Linked DNA regions of Coturnix japonica. The protein of the gene in region 2 interacts with the protein of the main gene of each other region in a pairwise test. Links are inferred from orthologs where the notes say so. Each region holds a gene or a part of one and is shown on either strand. Other genes may lie near its edges.

Region 1 (4,066 bases), on a different chromosome or scaffold from region 2:
AGGCAGGCAACGGCTAAAGGATGTTCCTGTGCTTTTCAAACTTTTTGGAAAGAACATTCTGTGTTGGAACTATTTTGCAGTGTCATTAGCTTTTTTGACAGATCAGTTTGGATAATATTTGCTTGCTCTGACTTGTGGGCTTCAAAAGGTACTTGAACAAGAATCGTGCTTTCAGCTTCTTTTTCTTTTTGGAAGTAAAGGCAAAAGGATGATTCACTTTCTGGCCTCATATTTGGACCTAAGTTGTCTTCTCCCTTCCCAATCCACGAAATTAGCAAGCTTGAAAAATCAGCATTAAAAGTGTTTGGCATAAACAAAGCTTATAGTTTGTACAAAGACAGGAGAAAAGAGTTCAATCTAGTTTGTATAGAAGAAATACACAAAGTGAGTGTGTGCGGAGGTTTAATAAACCAGTCAGCTGTGAATAGTGATGATGAATTCTTAGCAGTAACAACCAAATGATCAGTCTTAGTTGCAAGATACTGTTTACACATGGGTAACCACCAGAACTCATTGTCCAGATTTGCCAATTTTGCCAAAATCTTCATGACATATGTTTGAAATGTTCCCTTCTTTCTTTTGTCTGTGGTACGAAGCAGTTCTCTCCCACTTGACGTTATGGAGATGTTAGAAAGTCTTGTGCAAAGTATATGCTCTGTGTGCATCATGTATGTGATGGACTGCCTACAAAAGCTATCTGGTCCCTCTGTCCAATCAACAAGAGATGACTGCAGTATGATGTAGGCCAGAATTGAGGGATGCTGAGAGAGAACCTGGATGGGGCTGTTAACGCTATGGATGGTAATGCCTTACAAGCCATTTCCTGTGTAGTGGAAGCGAGGCAAGTTGTTCCAGCCCAGAAATCGCTTTAGTAGTGTCAGAGGAATTCAGCTCAGTCCCCAGAAGTCTTTCCTTTAATTGGAGAAGTCTTTCTCCTTCCCACCCACCCCCATTTCCTGTACGCAACAGTCATAGGTTAGTAATCACAACTTCTTCCCTTCTCGGAATTACAAGCCCAAGTGAAGTCTTTTGGATTCCTCCTTTGTGGGCCACAGTGTAGCTGGGGACGGATGGTGATCCATCATTTTATTTATTCTTTCTGCTAAAGAGTTTAAGGGTTTTGATTTTTGAGTTTTTAACAGAAGTACCTTTTTGACAACTGTCTGAAATACGTTCCTTTAAGATCCTCCTACACGGTATGTATTTGTGATTTGTAAGTGCACTATGTCAAAAAATGATTCAGTGGTGAGGCAGCGAGCTATTTGCATGTCATGAGGTCTCAGGGAAACAAACTGACCCTCAGCCTTCCATCCAGCCAAATTCTGATGGGACCCTCAAATAGCTCTGGCAAAGTGTTCTGTTTCTTTTGGACTTGATGAATGCTTGTTTCTGTGAAGACGTGTAATTATTTCTTCCTCTATTTTGCTGCAGAACTTACCAGGAGAAGCAGCTTAAAACCAAATGTGAGTATTGAAACTCATTTTCCTTACTCCCTTTATGTGATAGAACTGCGAATTTGAATGGCTACTGCTTCTTTAAATTGTATGCAGAACCTATGCAGATATAAGAAATGTTTGACTTTATGTACCAGAAGAGAAAGCAGACTTTTTCAGATGAAATAGTTTTTGTTTTATGAACTGGCTCGCTCATTAATGTGGGAGAACGTTGCTTGTTGTTTCCTTTGTCATGAGAGGGGGGTTAATTCTGTTTACTCCAAAGAACAAGCCAAGAAAATTGTATATACTGTTTCCTATGACATTTGAATCATTTCTATCTTTTAGCAAACCTTCGTAGCTATTTGCAATCACAAGAAATGTTGCAAAGCAGTGCCTTTTAAAATCAAATTGCAAATGCTTAACGTGGTGCCTGTTAAGTCACAAATATCATCATTGCCTAACATGGAGTGTTCTTGGTTTGTCTTTGAAGTAAAACCAGTTTCCAAGCTGGTGCTTCTATCAATATTTTAACTTGTTGTGGAAGTCATGTAGCATCTCAATATTCTGCATCAGTAAGATGTTTTCTTTTGTATGTCACATTTTTATCATATAACCTTGGTTGGTTTGGAATTTAAAGGAGAAGAGAATCAAAAGGCTGTAACACTGCCTACTGCAAGAGGTAACAAAGGGTAATTTAAAGACTACGTGTATTAATTGTGCTGATACCTGAGTTCACAGTGGCAATCATTTTGATAACAATTAATTTTGGAGGAAACTATCAGACATTATTTCCATTTTGGTCAAAGGAAATGCTGAAAACATTTTTGTCAAAGGTTCTGTTTTTACACCTGGAGCCAGACACAAACTCTCTTATATTTAGAAAACAAGTTTCAGATGCCTTCGTTGTGTTTAATATTTTTCTTCTGTGAACAGCTGCCATTTCTGAAATGCTTTAACAGAACAAGACAGATTTGATCTATTAATGTTACAACAGATCGCTGACGGACTTGCCATACATTTGATTGCAGTATCTCAAAAGTCACTTTGACTCACACTTGTGTAACTGGTAGAAACTTGAGGTGACACACTAACCTTCTTGCAAGATTAGAGCCAAATGAAAGCAAAAGCTGCTTGAAAGATATTCTGATCTATTGTGACCTTTGGTATCTCCAGGTTATTTGCAGGCAAATCACATTTTGTTAAGCGTGTTTGGTTAACTTGGTGAGATGTAAGTTCTTCCATAAAGCAATAAGCCCAGCTTTCTACATGTCTTTTTTTCCGTGCCTGAGTTTTATGTTTAAAACTTTCCATATTGCCTTACCATGAACAGACAGAAGCATGACAATCTTCACCAGAGTGCTTCCTAATGTCTGGGCTAGAATCAGAGGGTGAAATCCTGACTGTGCTGAGATGAGCAGCGCTCCTCTCAGCTTAACAATCTGTGGACTCTGTCAGGCTTTTATGTTGCCTAAAGAGTAAAACTGACCTAAGTTTTTCTGCATGTTTCCCTGTCACTTAAGAGTAAGACGATGTCTTATGTTTAAGTATAGGATGTTTATGAAGATAATGATTTCCAGCTCAGTTTTTCTATTAAAATCTCTAGAGACAAAGTTAGGGAATTGGATTAAGGAAATGCTGCTGGTATTCCATTTGTGGTCCTGCAGTGGAATTATTCTTCTGGGAATCTCCTAGCTTTAGTTAAGAGGCTGTGAGCTTCTCATTTTATATATTTATATTTTCCAATAAAGTGTAAGAGGGATGAAGTAAGGACGATTTTGTAGAAATATGCAGACATTACTCACAAAAACAATGAACCGATATCTAAAAATAAGTTCATAAAACCCCATGACATAAAAAAACCTCATGACATAAAATTCTGTAACAGAGATTATTACAAAGACTAACTTATCTGCATTGGTTGCCTCCATGATAATGACTAAGTTAAATTTCTCACTCTGGAGAGGAATTTTTCTCTCTCCCATAACTATAAAAAGTGCCTTGTGAGTTAGCCTCGATAGGCTTAGGTTAGCTTTTGTAATATCCCCATTTTCCTGAGATTGAACTATGTATATATCAGCTGTTATCCCCTCCTGTTTCCCTTTCTCAAATTAAGAGGGTTTATCTTTTTGTTTTATTTTACTTATTCCATAACAGTGGGTTACTTTCCCTGTCAACCATGGTTGCCTTCGAGTTTGAATTTGTTCTAGGTTCATATATTAGGACTGGTAATTCCTTACACATCTCAACATATTCCAGATAAGGCAGCCTGTTGAGATCCCTTAAGTCATAGCTGGCATGGGAGGCTGAACATCTGGCAAGTTTCATATGGTGCTTTCACCATCCTAGGCCAGTGCTATGACTACACCCTGACAACCAGATTTGCCTCATGGCAAAGCCGTAAAGACTGGCTGCATGCCTTCCCATACCTGCAGGTCTGCTCTATGACCTTGAGCAAGTCTCACCACTGTGTTTTCACTGCATTATCATTAGAAAAGCATTCTGAAGTCTTTGAAAAGAAGACTGAAAAATATCAGAGAGTTAAGTTATTGATCAGAAGCCCGCAGCAGTGTTAGGTAATACATGTATATATGAGGAGTGTTTCTCAAGTGACCTCTGCAGTTCCTAATTCA
Region 2 (4,167 bases):
CTCATCTTCCTGGGGAAACACCCTGCTGGCAGCAGAGACATGGCCAGGGATGGTGCTGTGCCGTGGGTGGAAAGTGCTTCTTACAGCTTCCACATCTCCTCTGAGCCACTGTCCAAAGCTGTCCCGTGTCCATCCACTCACAAACAGCCACGATGCAGTGAGCGAGCAGGGAAATGGAGAGAATGAAAAAGTGGAATGTGCCTATTCTAAACATAAAGGCACCCTCACCCCACTGAGCCTGCAAGCATGAGCTCTCATGTCCTGCTCCTTAATCCTGCTTTTGGAGCTGAAGTTATGTTCTGCAAACCAGGGGAGGTTGCCAAGAGACTGTGCTTGGCAGGGACATCGCTTGCAAACCCTAAGCATTCCTAAATGGGAGGTAAATAACGTGGGATACCGCTAATCCTCCGCTGCCCACACAGCACATAGAGATGTATTATTCCTGCAGAGGACAAAGGAGCCCACATCTCTCAGCAACCGAGGGGCCAAACCAGCACATCACTCGTGTTCTCCGGGCTGATAACGCCTCATTAACCATTTGTTAACACCGAGCAGCTTCCAGCCATGAGCACAGGGCTGAGGATAGAAGGCCAAACCCACTCTGCCAGGCCCCAAAACAGCAGTAAGGAGACGTGTACCTGTGAGCACACAGCTGTGGTGGTGCTCATTGTGTACAACACCCTAAATGGCCCTGAATCTGCTGGAATTAGGGCAGTGCTGTGGCTGTGGGGTTAGGCCTGAGGTGGGGCATGTCCATAGGGAGTGGAGCACGCAGGGGATTGTGACTGGGAGGGGTTGTGTTGGTGGGGCTGTGTCTGTGGGGCAGGACAAGCTGTGTCCATGGGGGTCTGTGGGCTGTGAGGCTGAGAGTGTGGGACTGGGACAGGCTGTGCTCATGGAGGGGACACGCTGTGTCTGTGGGGTCTGTGGGGACGGGGATGTGTTGGGCTGCAGGCCGGGTGTGTGGGGCAGCGCTCACGGCAGGTCTGACAGGATGGAGGTTCTGACAGGATGGAGGCTCTGACAGGATGGAGTTTGCAGTCTGTGACTCGCTGTGTCTGTGTGACCGGCCCTGAGCTCAACTTGCCGCCGGGCCGAGGGCTCCCGGCCATGGCCGCCCCCCCCCAGCCCCGCGCCAGGCCCCGCCCCCTCCGCCCGCGGCCAATGAGGAGCCGCGCTGTGCGCGCCCGCCCCGTCCCCGCTGTCATCACACACCCGCACGTGGAGGGGGCGGGCAGGGGGCGGGGCTACAGGGCTGACCGTCAGCCCCTCCCCGCACTCTCATTGGTCGCCGGACCCCAGCCGTCCCCGAGTCCCGCCCTCAGCACCAATCAGAGGCGAGAGGCGGCCCGAGGGGGCGTGTCCTGGCGGACACCCGGAAGGAGCGGCCGGAGCCCGGCAGCACTCAGGGCCGCGGCGGAGCAGGAGGAGGAGGAGGGGGCGCTGGTGGGTCCGGCGGGGCGGTATTATGGGTTGGAACCGGGCCGGGACGGGCCGAACCGAACCGAGCACTGGGGGTGGGGGGCGATGCCCGGCGGTGAATGGGTTAATGCGCCCCGTCGGTTCCAGAAGCTTCGGGGGTGGCTGCAGTGCAATGGCCCTCGCTATAAGCCGCCCTGCGGCCGTGGCTGCGGGGCTCCGTGGCACCGGCGCTGCAGGGCCCGGCTGGGGGGACGCGGCTGATCCCGGCTCTTTGCGCCCTGCTGCCCTCTGCTGCTCGGGAGGGCGAGCGGGGACGGGGCAGCCGGGCCTCAGCGCAGCCAGGCACCGAGGGTACGGGGTGCTGCAGGTGGAGCCGGGAGGAAACGGCCCCGTGTGTGTGTGTGCGGCTGCTGGCGGCTCAGCCCCTCGGAACGGCGTTGGGACCCGCGGGGCTCGGCCGCCCCGAAGCGCCGCTGCCCGCTGTCTCGCAGTGCCGCTGTGTGCCGGCTCCGGGCAGGGCCCGGCGGGGGTAGCGCCTCCCGGCAGCTCCGCAGCGCCGGGACGTGGGGCCCCGAGCGGGAGCCGGGCTCTGGGTCACGCTGCGGCTGCAACGCGGCTTCAGCGTCCTCTGGCTCCCGGCCGAGGCTCGCGGCCCTTCGCTTCTTGCTGTGAGCCTGCACGCCAGAAGGGCTTCCTGCGGGAAGGGAAACTGCTGGCTGTGCCCCGTGCCGGGTTGTGGGAGCGCTTTCAAGCACGGTTCACCTGGCAGCTGGCTGGGCCGGGGAGCTCCCTGTGCTCTGTTCTTCCTCAGCATAGCTTTAATCTTACCTGTGGGATGGTTGCTTTGCCCTGGCAGCCCCTCATCTGATCTCGATGCCCAAGCCATGTGTGCTCCCTGCAGTACGTGCTGAGCTTTCCCAGTCCGCATTCCCTTGGCAGTTTCAGGTCTTCTCTGTTCCTGAGTACAGGGGAGGGAGCTCCCCCACCAAACTCAGCTGGCCTCGAAAGAAAGGGCAGCTCATAGGCTTTGCTGTACTCAGCCTCAGCCTTGCTGTGCTGCTGGCAGAGGGCATGGACACCCAGACCTGTTCTTTTCAGGCTTAGTCACTGTCCCTGAGTCTAAAGGCATTGTGAGGGGGTGGCTGCTGGTTTGACTCCTGAAAGTCAGTGTTGCAAGGCTCAAAACGGTACAGGCTGTTCAGAGGACCTGTGGGTGCACCATCCCTGGAGACATTCAAGTCCAGGTTGGATGGGACCCTGGGAAGCCTGATCTGGTAGGGGCAGCCAGCCCACAGCAGGAGGTTGGTCCTTGAGGCCCCTTCCAACCCAAGCTATTCTGTGATTCTAAGTCTCCCAACACATCCCCATTCCTTTCCCTGCCTTTGTCATTGTGGGCTGCTTGATCTCTTCTCCCACGAGGTTTGGTAGCATTGTCACACAGTGAGGATTTACATGGTGTCTGGGGCTCCAAAGGATTCTCTGCGTACAGAATGAGATGTGTCAACCTATGTGTGTGACAGAAGATGAGAAAGGAAAAAGTGAAGCCATATTGGTTTGAAAAATAGCATTCTCATGAAGGCGGTCATCGTAACTGTGTTGAAGTTATTGAATCCTTCAGTGGCTGGAGGGCTTAATGAGTCTGAAACTGGACAGGTGTGAAGGGCAATGTGGGTGAAATCCCAAAGGGAACTATTTGTATGTTAACAGATGGCTCACAGAGTGTCACTGTGGGTGACTGGCAGTTAAAGTCTTCTATGGGGGATTCTGATTGCTTTCCACCTGGCACTGCACCCAGCAACCCTTCCTGTGGTGGATCGTGTGGGTCCCTGTAAAGCAGCTGCACGTTTCCCATCCATCCTGTTTGCAGCACCTGCCCCCTCTGCTCCCTGGAGCCATCTTTTCTGACCTGCTCTTCTCCTTTGTTTTTCCATTTTGCTGCTTTGACCGAGCGAGTCAGGTGGCTGTAAGCTCCGGCGAACCTGGTCCCACAAACTCAATGGTTTTCTCTTTTCTTTGAGTCAGAAGTTTCCTTGGAAATCTTGGTTCCTCCCAAACCTTCTTCTGCGCACCCACAGAGGTGGAGCAAAGTGCAACTGTAGAAGTAGAGAGGAATAAAGCCATGGCATCTCACTAAGCTTGATATAAGGTGCTCGACTGCAGCAGTGCTGTCTGAAATCCAGCTCTAGCTCTTTGAGGAGACCAGCCTGGACTCACATGGGTGACTGGGGTGACAGTGGCAGGAGCCTGGTTGTAGGGGCAGCCTTAGAAAGGGTGAAAGAGCAAAGAGAATCATCACAGTACTGGGTTGCTCAGGGCTTCTCAGCTCTGTGCATGTGCTGTCAAACTTCTTGGCTTGGAATGTGACCAGACAGTGCTGGGAAAGTTGTCTTGTGGAGGCAGATTATTTATCTGCTGAGTTTAACACATATCTCTGCACCTTGCCTTTGTCTTTCCAGGTGACCCAACAGAGCCAGAACAAGCATCCCCAAAACCACGCTGCAGATGCTGAGAGCTGCTGTTCTGTTTTGCCTACTCTCAGGTTAGCACCTGTTTAATTGGTATTGTTTTTTTTTCCTCCTCCAGGACTGTTTGAGGAGGCCTGGGACCACAATCCCTTTTTCTTGCCTTTCCTCCATCCCTCTGTGCAGCAGGTGTCACTGGGCTGGCAGAGCCTGGGTTCTTGTCACCTGTGCTGCTAAGGCTGTTGAGCCCTGCGCAACATTGCAAGCTCAAGGGCAATGTATT
Region 3 (4,024 bases), on a different chromosome or scaffold from region 2:
TTGGGAAAACCAATCAGGTGGGCGGCCTGGCTCTGCAAAGGGTTTGATGGCTCTGCTGACTGAGACCCTGCAGGGCAGAAATGGCACATGACTGCTCAATGAACCCACCCCAACAAACACACTATGAAAAGGTGTCTTAATTCTCATCACAGAACAGTCCCCATTAACACAATGGATCGACCAAGATGGAGTTTTTTAAGAGGAGTTAATCAACTGTGGTTTCTAGACTCAAAAGTATCTGCCTACTCCTAATGCAAGAGCTTCCATTTCTTGCTCTGAAAATCACATTCTAATAAATTAAATGAAAACTTCCCTTTGTGGGGAGATAATAGGCAGCAAAACCAAGCACAGGAAGAGCAAACATGGCTCTTGCACGTGTTACCTGGATGCAACTCTTCCTATTCAAGCTTGCTATGGTTTAAGAAGTGTCTGATAATGCTGCCTGTCTGAATTTGAATGGCTGTGTGTGGAGTCAATTGGACTCAGTGAGCCCTGAGTGCCCACTCCAACTCAGTACACACTATAACTCAACCTACAAACCTGTGCTCCGTACCAATTAATACACATCCCTTTTCACACACTACTCCAGAAGCAGCAGAGCCATTTCCAGACTCATACCTAACACCCCAACCCGCAGCACCCATAACACGAAGCTCACTGTGCCCACCCCTTACCAGTTCTGGTCTCCACTGCGCATGACGGACGAGGCGAGGCAGAGCTTCTCTCGGATGGACCATGGCTCGGTGGGGCCGGCGCTCAGCAGCTTGTGCTCTGTTGGGACAGCGGGCACAATGCAGTGCAGCACAATGCAGCACCCCACGGCAGGAGCCCCTCGGATCGAAGCCCCGCCCCCCACCCGTTGGCCCCGCCCCCTCGGAGCGAAGCCCCGCCCCCTCAGCCCGTTGTCCCCGCCCCCTTTACCTGACCCCGCCCCCCCACCCGTCGGCCCCACCCCCGCTCGGCCGTCGGCCCCGCCCCTCCCCTCAGCCCCCCTCAGCCTCCCTCGGTCCCCCTCAGGCCTCTCCCCGGCCTCTCCCCCGCCCCATCACCGTGCCTGCGGACCGGCTCCGTCCCTCCTCCCCGGTCCCACCGATTCTGTTCCCCCTCTCCCCTCACTCACTCCCCGTTCCCGCCGCCATCTTGCCCTCGGCCGAGCTGTGGCGGGGCGGAGTTTTGCGCACAGCCCGCCGGGAGCACCGAGCGCACAAAGCCCCGCCCTTCCTGTCTGAACACGGCTTCTGATTGGTGAGCACGAAGCCGCGGGCTGCTATTGGCGGAGGGAGCGGGCGGCGAGGTTTGAAACCTCAACAGTATCGGCAGCGCAGCCGGGAGGTGCGAGCGGGGAACGGGGAACGGCCGGTTGTGGGGGGCTGGAACGGGCCGAGAGGTGGGAACGGGCCCCGGGGGTGAGGAGAGACCCCGGGGGGTGGGGAACGAGCGCTGTGTAACGGCCTGTCCGCAGCTGTGCGTGTGTAGAGCGAAGGTTGGGGCTGTGTGCTGCTGGGGCCTGCTCGCTGCTCTGCCATCACCTCGTTCCTTCCCTCAGGGTCGCCATGGATCGAGCGCTGCTGTCCCCGGGGCTGTTCTCTGATGATGATGGTGCTGCCGCCTCCCCCGTGTTGGAATCCACGGCTGCAGGGTTCGGTGCTGATGTGCGCAAGGATCTGCTGTCTGAGTTCTCTGCTATCTCCCCTGGTCTCGAGGGCAGCCAGCAGGTGAGGATGGAGCCCTATTACCCGCACTGTGTGTCATAAGGGCTGTGTTCTGTGCTCAGTGCTAAGTAATTCCACTACACGGTCAAGAAGAGTCTCTTGTTACCTGCAGCCTACTAATGAAGGGCGCAATTAATGGATGCCCCTTAGCTCAGTGAAGAGTGAGCAAAGCCCCCAGAATGGAGGCAAGGTAACGCTTTGCTATACTAAGGGAAAAGGGAACTTCACAGAAACCAAGACAAAGGGTAAATGTAGATAGTTTACATTTAAAAATGCAGGAAAAGGGGGAATGACAGACACTTAGTCAAAATAAAGCCAGAGAAGAGGGCAATAAAGATAAGAAGAAATTGTCCGGAGACCTCTGACAAGGAGGATTAGATCCCCCCCCCCCCGGGCAAGATGATGCTGACATGGGAGAACAATAACAGCAGATAACACCAAGAAGAAAACAGAAGAAGAATTTCACCCCATAATAACAGCAAAGGTTGTGGGAAATGGGATCAGGAGGAATGAAGGAATGGGGTTGTGAGGAATGAGGCCATAGGGAATGTAATGAATATGTAATCAAACTGAGGAGGAGGCTATTGATTATGTATTAGCTTGACCTATATATCTAACACACTTTTCTCCTTACGGTGTGCAAGTTTGGAGGAGCTATCCCCCTTGCACCCGGCGCTGCACAACGCTGTGATAAACATACCTGCTTTATAACCCATCTCTGGATTATAGAGTTTGATTCTGCAAGTCACAGTGCTCAGTTCTAGGGCTGGATTTGGTGTCATGTCTTTGGATTCTTGTTCTGCTTCACTACACAAGGCAAAGATATGTTGGTGAACGTGGAAATGTATGGAAAGATGTTCTGGTGGTGCTTCTGAATTATGGAGTAACTGTGTGTCTTCCAATCAGTGACTCCTGTTATTGCTCTGGGCCTGGCAGATAGCTGTGTACTGTCACTCTGGCTGCTGTGTTTAACCTGTACAAGTTTTGCAGGCTACTGCTGAAGATGTTAATGGGAAACTGAAGGTGTATCTGAGAGTTCGACCCCTGAAACCTACAGAGCTGGAAAAAGGGGAAGACCAGGTGAGATCCTTGATAAACCACTTGTGTTTGTCCTTTACTGGGAGAACCAGTTTTCCTTTGCTGTCATGTCATAACCTCTTGTAAGCCACTGTGATTTATTTTTTCTTTCAGGGTTGTGTCTTCATTGAGAGTTCAGAGACCCTTCTTCTAAAAGCCCCCAAAGACTCCTTCACCATGCGGAGCACAGAACGTGGAGTGGGACAAGCAGCACATAGGTTCTCATTTACTCAGGTAGGTAACTGGGACAGACAACAGTTAATCCAATTAAGAGGGTTTTGAGCTTAAACCAGCAATACTACTTAAAAAGCTGCCTTTTTACTACTAATAGCAGTACTCTGTATGAGCTGTGTTACTCTCTCTACTCATTTCTGATGTCTTCCTTATTGATTTATCTATTTTGAAATAGATTCTGCAAGCCTCAGCAGCAAATGCAAAGCTCTTATTTTGTTAATAAAGATTTAAATATGATGAAGACTGTAGTAATATTGTGTGTTACTGGACTAAGCAAGTGAACGGTCTGTTTCTATAGGGCTCTCAGGCTGGAGTTACTGGTAGGTTTGTTTGTGGTGGTGGAGGATGGAGGCCTTCATTAAGGACTAAGCAGTATTTGAACCATCAGCTGCAGTCTAAAAAGTAGGAAGGATCTACATAAGGCTGTTTTCTGTGTTGTTTTTTTGCAGATCTTTGGACCAGATGTGGGGCAGAAATTGTTTTTTGATGAAACAATGAAAGAGGTGGTAAAGGATGTACTGAATGGGCAGAACTGGCTGGTTTACACTTATGGCAACACCAATTCAGGGAAGACTCACACCATTCAGGGTAATGGGAGTATGAAGTGGTAGCAGACATCTGAAGTAGCTGTATGTATGTATTTCTGTTGAATCCATGGCTTCCTGTTCTTTCTTCAGGCAGCATCAAAGATGGTGGGATTCTGCCTCGTTCCTTAGCTGTTATCTTCAATAGTGTTGGGGACCGTCTGTACCAATCTATGGACCTGAAGCCTTCGCTCTGCAATGATGTGATCTGGCTGGACAGCAGGCAGGTTCGACAGGAAGAGACCAAGAAACAGAGCATGCTGCGAGGGGGCTTGTGGGAGGTAAGTACATTGCTTCCAGGAGGTTTACTAGGGAATGAATGATGTTCGACCACCTGGTCATGGCTTTTCTTGTTTCCTCATAGGAGGAGCTGTTAACATCACTGAAAAGGAGTCACAGTGCCGAATCTCAGCTTCA

What was found.
Region 1: the proteins of FAM214B (region 2) and FHL5 interact in binary tests that used the Homo sapiens proteins (3 or more experiments, as listed by UniProt). The two-hybrid records come from large-scale screens. The link is inferred for Coturnix japonica from reciprocal best matches to the Homo sapiens genes ATOSB and FHL5.
Region 3: the proteins of FAM214B (region 2) and KIF20A interact in binary tests that used the Homo sapiens proteins (3 or more experiments, as listed by UniProt). The two-hybrid records come from large-scale screens. The link is inferred for Coturnix japonica from reciprocal best matches to the Homo sapiens genes ATOSB and KIF20A.

Annotation. Positions count from the first base shown.
Region 1 is NC_029518.1:66,290,340-66,294,405, reverse strand, and holds the start of FHL5 (four and a half LIM domains protein 5), read left to right. Parts: upstream 1-1,266; 5' UTR 1,267-1,379; coding exon 1,380-1,463; intron 1,464-4,066. UniProt on the Homo sapiens protein: May be involved in the regulation of spermatogenesis. Stimulates CREM transcriptional activity in a phosphorylation-independent manner.
Region 2 is NC_029547.1:7,891,684-7,895,850, reverse strand, and holds the start of FAM214B (protein FAM214B), read left to right. Parts: upstream 1-1,367; 5' UTR 1,368-1,446; intron 1,447-3,878; 5' UTR 3,879-3,961; intron 3,962-4,167. UniProt on the Homo sapiens protein: Transcription regulator that may syncronize transcriptional and translational programs.
Region 3 is NC_029528.1:11,877,661-11,881,684, reverse strand, and holds the start of KIF20A (kinesin-like protein KIF20A), read left to right. Parts: upstream 1-1,224; 5' UTR 1,225-1,245; exon of another isoform or gene 1,246-1,406; intron 1,407-1,546; 5' UTR 1,547-1,553; coding exon 1,554-1,715; intron 1,716-2,702; coding exon 2,703-2,792; intron 2,793-2,903; coding exon 2,904-3,023; intron 3,024-3,472; coding exon 3,473-3,611; intron 3,612-3,700; coding exon 3,701-3,888; intron 3,889-3,971; coding exon 3,972-4,024. Other genes in the region: BRD8 (bromodomain-containing protein 8), read right to left, coding at 1-67, 675-771, 1,121-1,139. UniProt on the Homo sapiens protein: Mitotic kinesin required for chromosome passenger complex (CPC)-mediated cytokinesis. Following phosphorylation by PLK1, involved in recruitment of PLK1 to the central spindle. Interacts with guanosine triphosphate (GTP)-bound forms of RAB6A and RAB6B.